3 linked regions of the Danio rerio genome follow. The protein of the gene in region 2 purifies or fractionates together with the protein of the main gene of each other region. This does not show direct contact. Links are inferred from orthologs where the notes say so. Each region holds a gene or a part of one and is shown on either strand. Other genes may lie near its edges. The genes, in order: clk2a, pnn and ncbp3.

Region 1 (4,264 bases), on a different chromosome or scaffold from region 2:
TTCCAGCACTACTCAATGGAAATGTTTATACCTCCTGGATCTGGCATAGCCGGTGTCCTGTCTGTGTCCTCTCGCTCTCCTCTCACGTTCACTGCTGGAAGAATAGGTTGGAGAGCGGCGATGTCGAGGTTTTCTTCCTCGATCTCTGTCTCTGTCCCGCTCTCTATATCGATCTTGGTAGCTGCTGCGGCTGGCCCTCTCCGAGGACGGATACCGCCTGGAGTGTGGCATCTGCTTGAGTTGAAGAAGGAAAAAATACTAATAAATTTTTTCAAAAAAAATCAAAAGAAAAAAGTAAAACAAGCATTTAAATAGTTGCAACAGCAAAAATCTTTTGAGCTGTGGACAATGTGAAAATGTATTTTTCTCTGATGAGTCCATCATCACTCTCTTTCCCACATCCAAGAGAGTTACAGAGTGGAGAAGCCCCAAAGAAGTGCACCACCCAGACTGCTGCATGCTCAGAGTGAAGCATGGGGTGGATCAGTGATGGTTTGGGCTGCAATGTCATGGCATTCCCTATGCCCAATACTCATGCTAGATGGGCCTGTTACTGCCAAGGACTACCGAACCATTCTGGAGAACTTTGTGCACCTAATGGAACAAACATTGTATACTAAAGGCAGTGCTGTGTTACATACCAGTGGTAAAAGTTGTTCTTAATTTTTTGTTTTTTCTTCATAGATTTAGAATTAATTTTTGTACGAAACTTTTAATAAATCATTACCTGTTCGTGAAAATGCCCATATGCACATTACATGCATAAAACTTTGTGTATACAGGATGAGGATGTATTAAAAATGTAATTTGTTTTATTTCAACCATGTCAAATAAAAAAAATCACTTAAAATATAAACTTTTGTATAATACCTAAATTACAATTTTCCATAAGTACAGATAAGAACAAGCATAATGTTTTTTTTATTTTTATTTAAATCAATATATCAGTTACGATAGAACGTCAATATATGAGTAAAACAAGAAAGATTTAGATTAATTGTTGTAAACACCAAAATGCGACGTCTCATCAATTCCGAACTTTTTTTAAATAAAAAATAATTTTCAACTAATTATTATTACTAATTCTATTTTTTCAAACTGATATCTAACAAATTATCTAGCCCTGTCATTAAAGAGATCAGAAAAATGTACATTTACTCACACTTAAGTGGTTTTTATGAGTTTCCACTGTTGAAAAAAAAGCTGAAAACCTGTGACCACTGACTTGCATAGCAGGAAACACAAGTACAATGAAAGTAAAGGGTTACAGGTTTTTATCTGTCTTCAAAATATTTTCTTTTGTGTTCAACAGAGGAAAGTCAAACAGGTTTGGAGAAGTAAACGATAACAGGATTCTCAATTTGGGGTAACCTAGCCTTTTAACAGGGTGAAGCAGTGGCGCAGTAGGTAGTGCTGTTGCCTCACAGCAAGAAGTTCGCTGGTTCGAGCCTCGGCTCAGCTGGCGTTTCTGTTCGTAGTGTATGAGTGTGTGTGTGTGTGTGAATGTGTGTGTGGATGTTTCCCAGAGATGGGTTGTGGCTGGAAGGGCATTCGCTGCGTAAAAACTTGCTGGATAATTTGGCGGTTCATTCCGCTGTGGCGACCCCGGATTAATAAAGGGACTAAGCAGACAAGAAAATGAATTAATGAAAAACTTTTTAACAGAAACAATAGACATGGGGGCGTGGGGAGGTATCTTCTGTATTTTATTTTCACTATTATTGAATTTAGGACAAGTGTGACATTTGTGGGGAGTTATTTGGGACATGATAAAGCAGGTGTTAAGACGACACTTGGCACAGGCTTAGACATTAGCATGAGAATGAAAAACACCACATTACTATTTATATTGTTTTTTATATTTATATTTTTTGCATGGATGGCACTTTGTTACTGCCATGCAGTGCTTAAAAACTGAAAAAAAGACGCCTCAGGTCTGCAAAACATTGAATACTACACATCAAAAATATTATACAGACCAGTTTTAGATTTTATCAGGATCTTTATACACATTAGTAAACATATATAATATAATATAATATATATATATATATATATATATATATATATATATATATATATATATATATAAATAATATAGTAAAGCAATAGAAAATAATTTTGAGTTAAAAAAATCAAAATTAATTAGATTTAAAAAATAAACATTTAGCCGAACCAGAAGAGGATTTGAAACGAAGAATTCAAACAAATAATCTGAAAGCTAGATGACATAACGTTAACTTACAGCACTTTGAAATGCTGCGTTTGCCTGTGAAATTAGCCGCAAACTAGATCAAGTCCCAGTTATTAGAGCACACTTCTATATTTAGCCAAAAAACCACAGACACAGCGGTAACACGCAAATGCTTTTAACTGTGAAATAACGATGTCTTAAAAAAAAACAGAAGTGTAATAACATGTAGAAGTGTGTCCAGCGAATTATGACTGAAAACTGCTGTAAAGACAAGGTAAGCTAACCAACTAACGCTGGCTTAACTTGTTATTTCTAATCGCTATTTTTATGCTCGTTCATTTAACGTAAAGTCGCCATGTATCACTCGTCTCTATGGCATAAATGTGAACTGTCGTTTTTGGTGCAAACACGACGCACAAGATGATGTCGCAACGTTTGAAAACGGCAGCTAAATGTGATGTTTTTTTAGCAGAGTTAGCTGCTATCCTCGTCGACGGCCATTTTGAGATCTTCTAATCTTCAACGGACCGTTTCTCTAAAACGCTCCTGAATATTTGAAGGGGAAAGTGACAGACAGCGAAATAATGATTCGTAATCACCGTTTGTGCAGCCAGCCCTGTCCGTTTATCCCAAAGAAAATCCGTGTTGACGCTTCGGATCCCAAATTCTCACTCAAGTCTAATTATTAAACGGTGAAGAAAAAAACACTTCCGGCCCCTCCTCCCGACGCGTCTTTATACCTATACGCGCGCGCGCATCACTTTCACCGTCAACTCGGACAGTATGAACAGTCTCATGAGTTCCATATTCCACCAGACCGCACACCACAGAGAGAGAAGAAAGAGTAATAAAGCCAATTATGATATGGGGATGGTTAGGAGGCCATGATGGACAGAGGCCAGTGGGTAAATTTGGCCAGGATGCCGGGGTTAAACCCGTACTCTTTTTCGAAAGACATTCTGGGATTTTAGGGTACATGCTGAAGCATGCTAATAGGACTTTTAATTTCCCAAGTAACCTGGGTTAAGCGCTTCCGGCGAACTGTATGCCAACGGAAAAATCTGCACGTTTTTAAGGTCTGTTTTCTTTAAAAATCAGCGATCTCCACTGGCTGAGTGATATCAGATATGAAGTGGGCCTCAGATTGTACTAGAAGCACTGCATTAAATTACATTTTCCCCGCCATGTCTTTATAATATTAGCATTGGAGCGACTGCGCTATCCTGCCGATTCTGACGGGCGAGTGCGAGTAAAAGGCCTTTTGTCTCGTTTTACGCTTGAACAACTAAATGAATGCCAAAGTTTATTTAACTGAATGTATTTTAATTACATTACAACATGAGTGCTGTAAAAGGAACCGGAAAAAATTGAAAAAAAAAAACTCACAATAACCGGTCACCGGAAGTATATAAGTATATGGGAACAACACTAGCTCGGCATATACCCAATTATATTCATCTGTCTCCATATTTTGCTGCATCTCAGAATATTACACAGCACCAAAAATGTAAAAATATATATATACTGAATATATTTAATATATTTTTGTGTACGGCAGACGGCAACTCGCCGTGACGCAGATTCCCGAGTCTGTGCTCCAATCAGGTGAGCCCTCTTCAGCGCTAGCCATGACAACGAGATAGCAGTGACGTGCCTTGTAAAAATTTGCATCTGCATTCCTATAAAGCTCGTGTGCTCTCTGTCAGCGTTGTCAGTTCGCTCGGTGTTGCTGTTTGTACTTGACCAAGGTGAGTTCAATACCGACGGTACGAGTGGAGCCACGCCAATCTCACGAAGTCCGCTTCGTGAAGCTTCACTCGGGCCCGTCTGTGCTGTAGTTCCTTGTGGTTTGCGTACATAAACGCAATATCGCAAGGAAGATTACGTGTTTGTTGCTCGAAATGTGCCGCCGAGCAACATCCAGTGAATACTGGCACGGCCTGGCGCCCGGTTTTCTCGTGCACTCCCTGGGGCGAGGCGGCCTTTGAGCCCTAGGCAGGGAACAAACAACCCCCGAGGACCCTCAGGGAAACACGGGGGGCCGGTAGTGGGACCTCGCTGCGAGGGTTA
Region 2 (4,300 bases):
AGTACAGACATTTGTAAATAGCATGCAATAAAATGGCAATTTACTTATTTCATAAAATACCCAGAAAGTGGAAATTTGGCAAGGGATGCCTCACCTCAAGAGTGCCCCGTCGATGTCTCTCAGTTTGGCTGGGGGTCCTCCACCGCTATCTGAGAGTCCACGCCTGAGAGAGATTTACAGATGTTAAACAACATGCATTTAGTATGATCATGGGTCCGTCTTTGTACGAACAGATTCTTACCTCAGCAAATTGATTCCACGCCCCCTACCTCCTCCTGGGCCTGGGATGGTCAGTCTTCTATTCTGACCCGGTCTGAAAAAGGCAATAGATACACGGTTAATAATCATACATTGAAATACCAATCACGACTGTATGATGCATTACACTGCTCAATGCAGTGTTTGCTTTAATGTTATTCACCTCACAGCTGGTTAGTTAAAACCATGTCAATCAATTTCACTGTATAGTAGTCAATCAATTTCACTGTAATTGGTTTCAAGGTTTACAGCGGTTTAAAAACCGCAAGAATTTTCTGCTATACCGTTCCTACGGTATATGTACAGTTCTTTTACGTGTTTTTTTTTTTTAAGGACTAACACAAACACAAACACACACACTCGCATACACACGCGCACACACACAGCACATGTGGATGTATTGTATTTAATTAACTTTGTCTATATCTAACAACATATTCCCTGACTTCGGTCTTTTGAATTATTACTTGTTCTCAAGTTGTGTTTTGGCTGAGCGCAAAGACAAGTTCATATATTAATTAACATAACCACAAACACGGATTCTGCACATTTGACTGATTGATTGCATTTATTTCCCATAATGTAAACTTATTGTACGTTACACATTTATAATGGCCATTGTTGATTATTTGATTATTAAAACTTATTCAACAAAGGAGACAGGGTATGTTTGGCATTTTCAATGAAAATGGAGGCAGTTATGTTATAGGCTTCGTTTTGTTATGCATACAGTAAAGATGATGGTCATATAAATATGTAGCCACATGACGTCTCAACATTTTTGGTGGCTGTTAATTAGTAGCTGTTGCTAATACCAAAATGAAAATAGGCAGTTCTTTAAATAATGTTTTCATTTTTATTGCTAAGAAAGTAAAACAATATAGCCGAGGTGATGTGAATGAGGTTTTAAAGTACGCTGTTCCCTGAAGATTTACCCGACGTGTCCTTGGGAGTTTGTTTTCCATATCAAGCTTGCGAAGTCTGAACTTACAAGGAGAAGATGCAAGACTGAACTGTGTAGGCTACTTAATATTGAGGGAAAATCTGCAGCCACGTCTCCGTTTTCAGATATCTCCGTTTTCCCCCATCCATAGTGAGATGGAGCAGCAGCGTTTTCAAACTAAAACTGCGTCTTCAGGCGTAACCGTTCCAAAACTCATGTGTTTTCAAACTAAAACGTATTAGTGTAAACGGGGCCTAAGAAGAGAGGGAGAAATGAAGATGGTTTTGAGATTGTCAATTAACATTTAATGTTACCCTGTTTTTGTTTGTTTTATTGTTAAAAGCTAACTGTAAATGTTTTAATTAAATGTTGTAAATGAATTAGACTTAGTTTAAATGAACATATTGTCACATGACAATCCAGGTGGTGAGCAAATACAACTTTTAAATGATAACTTATTGCAATAAAATATAAACAATCATATTTGTAACAGTGGAGTTCAATGCTGAATACACAAGTCAAGCAGAATCTGCCTTCGACTTGATTATACTGCATTAGTTAATACAATTTACAGCAGGGGTGTTCAAACTCGGTCTTGGAGGGCCGGTGTCCTGCTTAGTTTAGCTCCAACTTCCTACAAAACACCTGCCTGAAGGTTTCTGGTATACCTAGAAATAGCTTGATTTCCTAGTTCAGGCGTGTTTAATTGCAGTTGGAACTAAAATATGCAGGACACCGGCCCTCCAGGACCAAGTTTGGACACCCCTGATTAAAAGTAATGTTTTCAATTTATTTAAAAATATTAAGAAATAAATTGTGAAAATTTCCCATGGCAACTTTAATGTAATATAGTTTGGCTAGGTATGTTTATCTCGATCATATTTGCTTTTTGGCCCTTCATACAAAAAAACAAAAAAACAACAACTTTGGGCACCCCTGGTCTAGAATGACAATGGCCCATCCCTTTTATGCCACCTGACATGTATCAAAAACATATGATCGTTGAAAAATAAACAAGCCTGTCCCATACAAACATCCGGTTTTACAAGAAAATAAACCCGTTTCTTGAGCACATCAAGGCTCATAGGGGACAAAAGATAATGCAACAGATCTATTATAATGTTCAGTGCAAAGCTCTTGAGGAAAGACCACAACTCTTCCCATTCAAAACGAAACAGGAAGTTCATATATGCTCGTTTTAACTTATACTTTTAAAACTAAAACATTGTTTTCAAGCTTTTAAACAAGTTACTAAACGTAGATTCAGAAAACAGCCCTCATCGTGCAGAGCTAAGACCTGATTTTATGAGGAGTGTCATTGTTTTCTCAAACATAAGCCCGCTCCTGGATGTCCACCATACAAATTTATAAAGACCTGGGTGATTCAAAATAAATAGCACTTATCAATATCGAATTGGACACATGTGCTCTCATTTAGCTTGTGAGCTAGCCGCAATATTAGCTTGCTATCAGGCCCTGGACTAATTTCTCCACAACAAATTCGTTAATGATTAAAACGCGTTCATTAAGCAATACCTTAATTCACCCGGATCTCTGCCGGTTAGTTTTCGAATATTCTCGTCCACGCTCTTTAAGCCTTCCTTGGCTTTTTCGAGCTGGTCTTGCAAACTTCGCACGGCCACCGCCATCTTGCTCTCCGTCTTCAAGCAGCGCGTGTGGTGTCGCGAGCGCGCACGGCTCAATGTAGGCGCGTAGCCGTGATCACGTGGGCGGGCGGTGCCTGTCTGTTTGATAGAAGTATGGGTAAACTTGATACCCGCATCAACATTGCGTAATTTTGCACACTGTACAACAATATTTTAACATTACTGCGAGGACTGGGTTTAGGATGGGTTAGACAAAAATACATTTTAATGAGTGATTAAAAAATGATATGAATATTTCTCATTATACTTGCTGTTTTTACATTACTGTGAGGGTTGTGTTTGAGGTTGGGAAAGCGGTAGACATTAATAAAATACAATTAATGGGAATAAACAAATAATATAAATAATTCTCGTTAACTTATCGCCACGACTGTATCCCTTCTAGTATTAAGTTACCTTCAGGGAGTGAAATTCAGCCGTATAACGTTATTTCACCCTCAGAGATACATTTTTAGCTTTCATCATAACATTACAACATTGTTACACAAGATTTTTATGTGAAATTTTCCTAAATGTCTGATGATAACAATTACCTACAACATGGAAGCATTTCTCTTGATTTTTTTGACTTATAATAATTATTTTAAATACAAAAATAGGCTTTTCGAGAAACACTATAAAATGGCATTATAGCCTATGGCTTTATATGGTTTCCATTATTTATAACAGCTTCAACTACAACTACTGATGGCCTATTTATTTGCCAACTTGGTTAAGAATACATGACCTTTATAACGATAACTTTTCTTTTTAAATTTTACTCCTTCTGAATAAATATTATATATGAGCAATATCACACAAGTAGCAGTGTGATGTGGCTGTATATTGGCACTGGTGGGAGGCGTGCGATGTGTCCCACCAGTGACGATATACAGCCTGCTACAAGTGTTATATTGCATTTATACAACAGTTAATTCACCAACGTCACTTTAGAGCTAGAACTTAATGATTCTCTAGCATAATATCTGGAGTGAAGACAAAACAGATTTTGCTCACATTTTAAGATTATAAGGCTGAACGGCATGAAATGTCATCAGTCTACAGAGATTCCCCAGTATTTCTCTGTTGCAATCGGTAGATCACAATAATCCTCAAAAAGCCAAAGATTTAGATTACTAATCAAATTACTGTTGTGTTTGCGATAAGGAAAAATGCTAAACACATGCAGGCACTTCTTTCATTTTACTGAACTAGTCTGCAGTAACAAATGCAAGAGACACCTAGAAACAAACATATGGTCAACCAAAAAGTAACTCAGGGTTATACAAAGTGGCCATCAGAAAATACATACATTCCTGATATGTGGGTCCCATCTCACACACAACACACAATTATTATGGTATAAATACAGCACTACAACATACAAAACAGACAGATCGACTTAGAATGTCACTTACCAGTTTAATAATGATTTGATCAGCTGTAGTTTAAA
Region 3 (3,652 bases), on a different chromosome or scaffold from region 2:
GTCTTCGGTGAGTGCAGGTTTCTTATAGAGGCCAGTTTTATCCCAGTTTCTATCCCATTGGCTGATCCAGTTTGAACGTCTTAATGATAATTTCTTTCTTTGTCTCTTCCACTTTCCCAGGAATTCAATACGGACTGAATCCAGTGGCAGTGTTAAAAGTCGCATTGGTGGTGGAGGTGGAGGAGGAAGTGGAGGTGCAGTAGAGGAACGAGGAGAAGGAGGTTCATCCAAATCTACATCAGAGAAAGTAACAGATGTGAGGCAGTTACTGGAGGAGAAGAGGCAGGGACTTTCTCAACAGAGATCACGCCCTCCAGTGGCCACAAGCGGCAAGACCGGTTAGTTATTAAGAGAGCTTTTTTTGTTGTTTATTATTATTTAAAAGGATGGTTCACCCAAAAAGGCTCGATTCAAATCATTTTGAGTTTATTTGTTCTGTTAAAATACTCAAAATAGGTTATTTTGATTGTTGAAAACGTATTCATCAATTTCCATATTGGAATTTCCTTCCATGGATGTCAACAGGACTTTTTTTTTCACACTGTGCTTAACCCCTTCTAAACACAGCTTTCAAATCTGGGTAAAGACATGTTTTATACCTAATTTAAAATTTAAAAATGTTATTAGCACAACTTTTTACCAAGGGTTATAAAACACTGCTCAACAACAAATTTGCTGTATTAAGGTTGATTTATACTTCTGCGTCGAGTGATCGCCATGAACCATGCTGCCTGCTTTGCGTGTAGGAGTGCATTGAATCTTCTTCTTCTTTTGTGTTACTTTGCTAGCTGGCAGTAGGTTTTTATGTTCCTCTTTGTCGAGGTTTGTCGTGAGTTTTTTTGTTTTTCTGAACGCTACCTTAATGTACAAGTAGCTCGAACTGGCTCAGCCGGCGAACTTTAATCATAAGGTAAACACAAAAAAAGTTTTCATCTGGAGCTCCTTCATGGGACTCAACACTTGTAAACACTTGTTACAGCTACCAAGCCAACCAATCACAGCTTGCGCTACGTGTCTTGTAGTTAAATTTTTTAATTGATTTTGTTACATTTTTTTTTTAATGCGACCCTGCAAAGGCTGCTACGGACCATATGCATGTGCTTGACTCTGAAGTAGAAATCAGCCTTTAGGGGCTGTTCACATAACACATCTAAAAGTGTGTGGAAGATGCAAGCATGTCGCTTCGTTTACCATTTTCAATGCACTTTGCGATCGCACACTTTTGTCGTTTGTCATTGCTAGGTGACCATAAACTGTTTTTTTTTGTTTGTTTGTTTTTTTTTTTTTTTTATTCAAGATGATGACAAACTTACAAAACGTTGCGGCTTTGATACAAGTTTTATTTATGGAGAAAATAAAAAGCACTGCAGTGTTTGGCTTTTCTATGTTTGTCTAAAGTAATTAGTCTACCAAAATGTGTTTATTCCATAGAAAGTATGAAGATGATTGGTCAGTCCTAAAAAAATTGAGATGTTTTCAACTAGGTGCGCCTGGAAAACGTGTGCGAGTCCTGCTATGTGCGCATCGCTCCCAAAATGCGCATAAATACTTTCATTGAAATAGCAAACTTGCAAACAAGCAAAAGGCGCGATATGTGAACAGCTTCTTAACCCTGCATTCTGGTGCTAACATTTTTCTGTGGGAAACAAAATGGTGTTTGTTTGTTTGTTTGCTGCTGGAGGCTTGGCAATCAAAAACTAAGCAGTCTGTGAATGAATGAATGAATGAATGTACTTTTGTCTTTATTTTCTTCTCTTTTGCATCTCGTGAAGCTTAACTAAACATCTACGCAGCAACCATTTTATATAGATATTTATGTTTATATAACTGATTACTGTTGTGCTGAGCTTTTTTGCACAATGCATTTTCCTTGTAAATGTGATACATTTTCTTTGTTTTTCCACTGTAAACATGTCCTGGATGGTCATGTAATCATTGCTCATGTTTTATATGTAATTTTAAAAGGATTTAGCCATTTTTAAGATTATAAAACTCGGTGTAAACCATAATAACACGGTGAAATGATGGTAACATTCAAAACTTTTCCTTGAATGTTCACTAAGTAATGAAAAGTTGCTGATAAAAGGTTTTAGTTTTTACAATATGAACGGGGATCCCACGCTTTTTGAAAGTACTTGAATTTCAGACATTTTTCAGGACTGGAAAGTACTTAAAAACAAACATGAGTCCTTGAAAGTGCTTGAATTATATTTGAAATGAAATCTGTTTATGGTGTTATTTCAACAACTCTACTGTGCTGCTGTCAAAAACAGAACAAAACAAATCTTCAATTAAATTTTTTTATTTAAACTGTTCAAGAACGATGACAAGTAATGTGCATTTTATCAATATTTCACAATCAGTGTTTGAATATTACTAGTGAATTCAACCATGTTTAAGTTCTTTGACCATGGCTGTTTAAAAAAAAAACATTTCAGTTTAATTTCTACATTTTTAAAAATGACATTCACAACATAATCATTACTCAACATTTCAGATACACTTTATATTTACATTAAAGATGTCAAAGTACAGTGTAGGCATGGGATGAGAACCTGTTTCAAGGTTTACCACGATTTGGAAAAGTCAAGGTTTTAAAACCATTAACGTTTTCTGTTATACCATTGCTAAGGTACAGTTAGGTCCATAAATATTTGGACATCAACACAATTCTAACATTTTTGGCACCATACACCAACACAATGGATTTGAAATTAAAAGAAGATGTGCTTTAACTGCAGACTGTCAGCTTTAAGTTGAGGGTATTTACATCCAAATCAGGTGAATGATGTAGGAATTATAACAGTTTGCATATTTGCCTCCCACTTGTAAAGGGACCAAAAGTAATTGGAGAGAATAATAATTCCAAATAAAAATTAATTTTAAATACTTGGTTGCAAATTATTTGCATGAAGTCTGGAACGTATAGACATCACCATACGCTGGGTTTCATTGTTTTTTTTTTCCCCAGGCATTTAAAAAGAACTTATTGTAGAGTAATAATCACAATACCTTGATACCATGACTACATGATATTTTTGTTCAAGGTTATCATACCGTCAGAAACATATACCGGCCCATGCCTAGTACAGTGAGGACTTTCATGTCGCTGCATAAGCAGGCGTTGTAAATTACAAAAATTATTGATTTTAAAATTAAATATGCTTTAAAATGTCCTTAAACCTGCTTGTCATGGAAAAAGTGGAAACCATAATGAAAAATTGGGCCAGGAAAATAGTATACAGGCTTTGAATTGTTATCAGTTTTCATCATGAGCAAATGTGGAAGAGACTCACCTGTTTTTTGTTTTTTTCCTCTCCACAGATGTGAGACAGAGATTAGGCAAGAGACCACACTCCCCAGAGAGGCGTCGCTCTGTGTCTCCTGTGATCTCCAGAAAGACGGCGTCTCGGAGAGAGCCTTTGAGCGACGTACGCAGCAGACTCGGTGTAGCTAAACATGACAATCGCAGTCTCTTCTCTGAACCCCCCAAAGACAAGAAAACAGGTACACCTCAATTCAGCACTCCTCTCAGTTCTCTTCATATTTGCTCTCCAATACTAATATAACATTGGAGTAATGAAGACAAAAAAAAACATTTTAGTAAATTGGTTTAATTCCAAAGGCCTCAATAATTATGGTATTTTTACTG

What was found.
Region 1: the proteins of pnn (region 2) and clk2a purify together in Homo sapiens (affinity purification with mass spectrometry; 3 studies listed by BioGRID and IntAct, counting the BioPlex papers as one, with this or other methods). This does not show direct contact. The link is inferred for Danio rerio from reciprocal best matches to the Homo sapiens genes PNN and CLK2.
Region 3: the proteins of pnn (region 2) and ncbp3 purify together in Homo sapiens (co-immunoprecipitation; 3 studies listed by BioGRID and IntAct, counting the BioPlex papers as one, with this or other methods). This does not show direct contact. The link is inferred for Danio rerio from reciprocal best matches to the Homo sapiens genes PNN and NCBP3.

What each region holds. Positions count from the first base shown.
Region 1 is NC_133194.1:10,209,562-10,213,825, reverse strand, and holds the start of clk2a (dual specificity protein kinase CLK2), read right to left. Parts: upstream 2,907-4,264; 5' UTR 2,794-2,906; intron 1,019-2,793; exon of another isoform or gene 728-1,018; intron 595-727; exon of another isoform or gene 232-594; coding exon 32-231; intron 1-31. UniProt on the Homo sapiens protein: Dual specificity kinase acting on both serine/threonine and tyrosine-containing substrates. Phosphorylates serine- and arginine-rich (SR) proteins of the spliceosomal complex.
Region 2 is NC_133192.1:14,303,123-14,307,422, reverse strand, and holds the start of pnn (pinin), read right to left. Parts: upstream 2,880-4,300; 5' UTR 2,851-2,879; coding exon 2,738-2,850; exon of another isoform or gene 2,558-2,737; intron 1,813-2,557; exon of another isoform or gene 349-1,812; coding exon of another isoform or gene 314-348; coding exon 242-313; intron 164-241; coding exon 95-163; intron 1-94. UniProt on the Homo sapiens protein: Transcriptional activator binding to the E-box 1 core sequence of the E-cadherin promoter gene; the core-binding sequence is 5'CAGGTG-3'. Capable of reversing CTBP1-mediated transcription repression.
Region 3 is NC_133196.1:33,663,015-33,666,666, reverse strand, and holds part of ncbp3 (nuclear cap-binding protein subunit 3), read left to right. Parts: coding exon 1-7; intron 8-120; coding exon 121-338; intron 339-3,324; coding exon 3,325-3,507; intron 3,508-3,652. UniProt on the Homo sapiens protein: Associates with NCBP1/CBP80 to form an alternative cap-binding complex (CBC) which plays a key role in mRNA export. NCBP3 serves as adapter protein linking the capped RNAs (m7GpppG-capped RNA) to NCBP1/CBP80.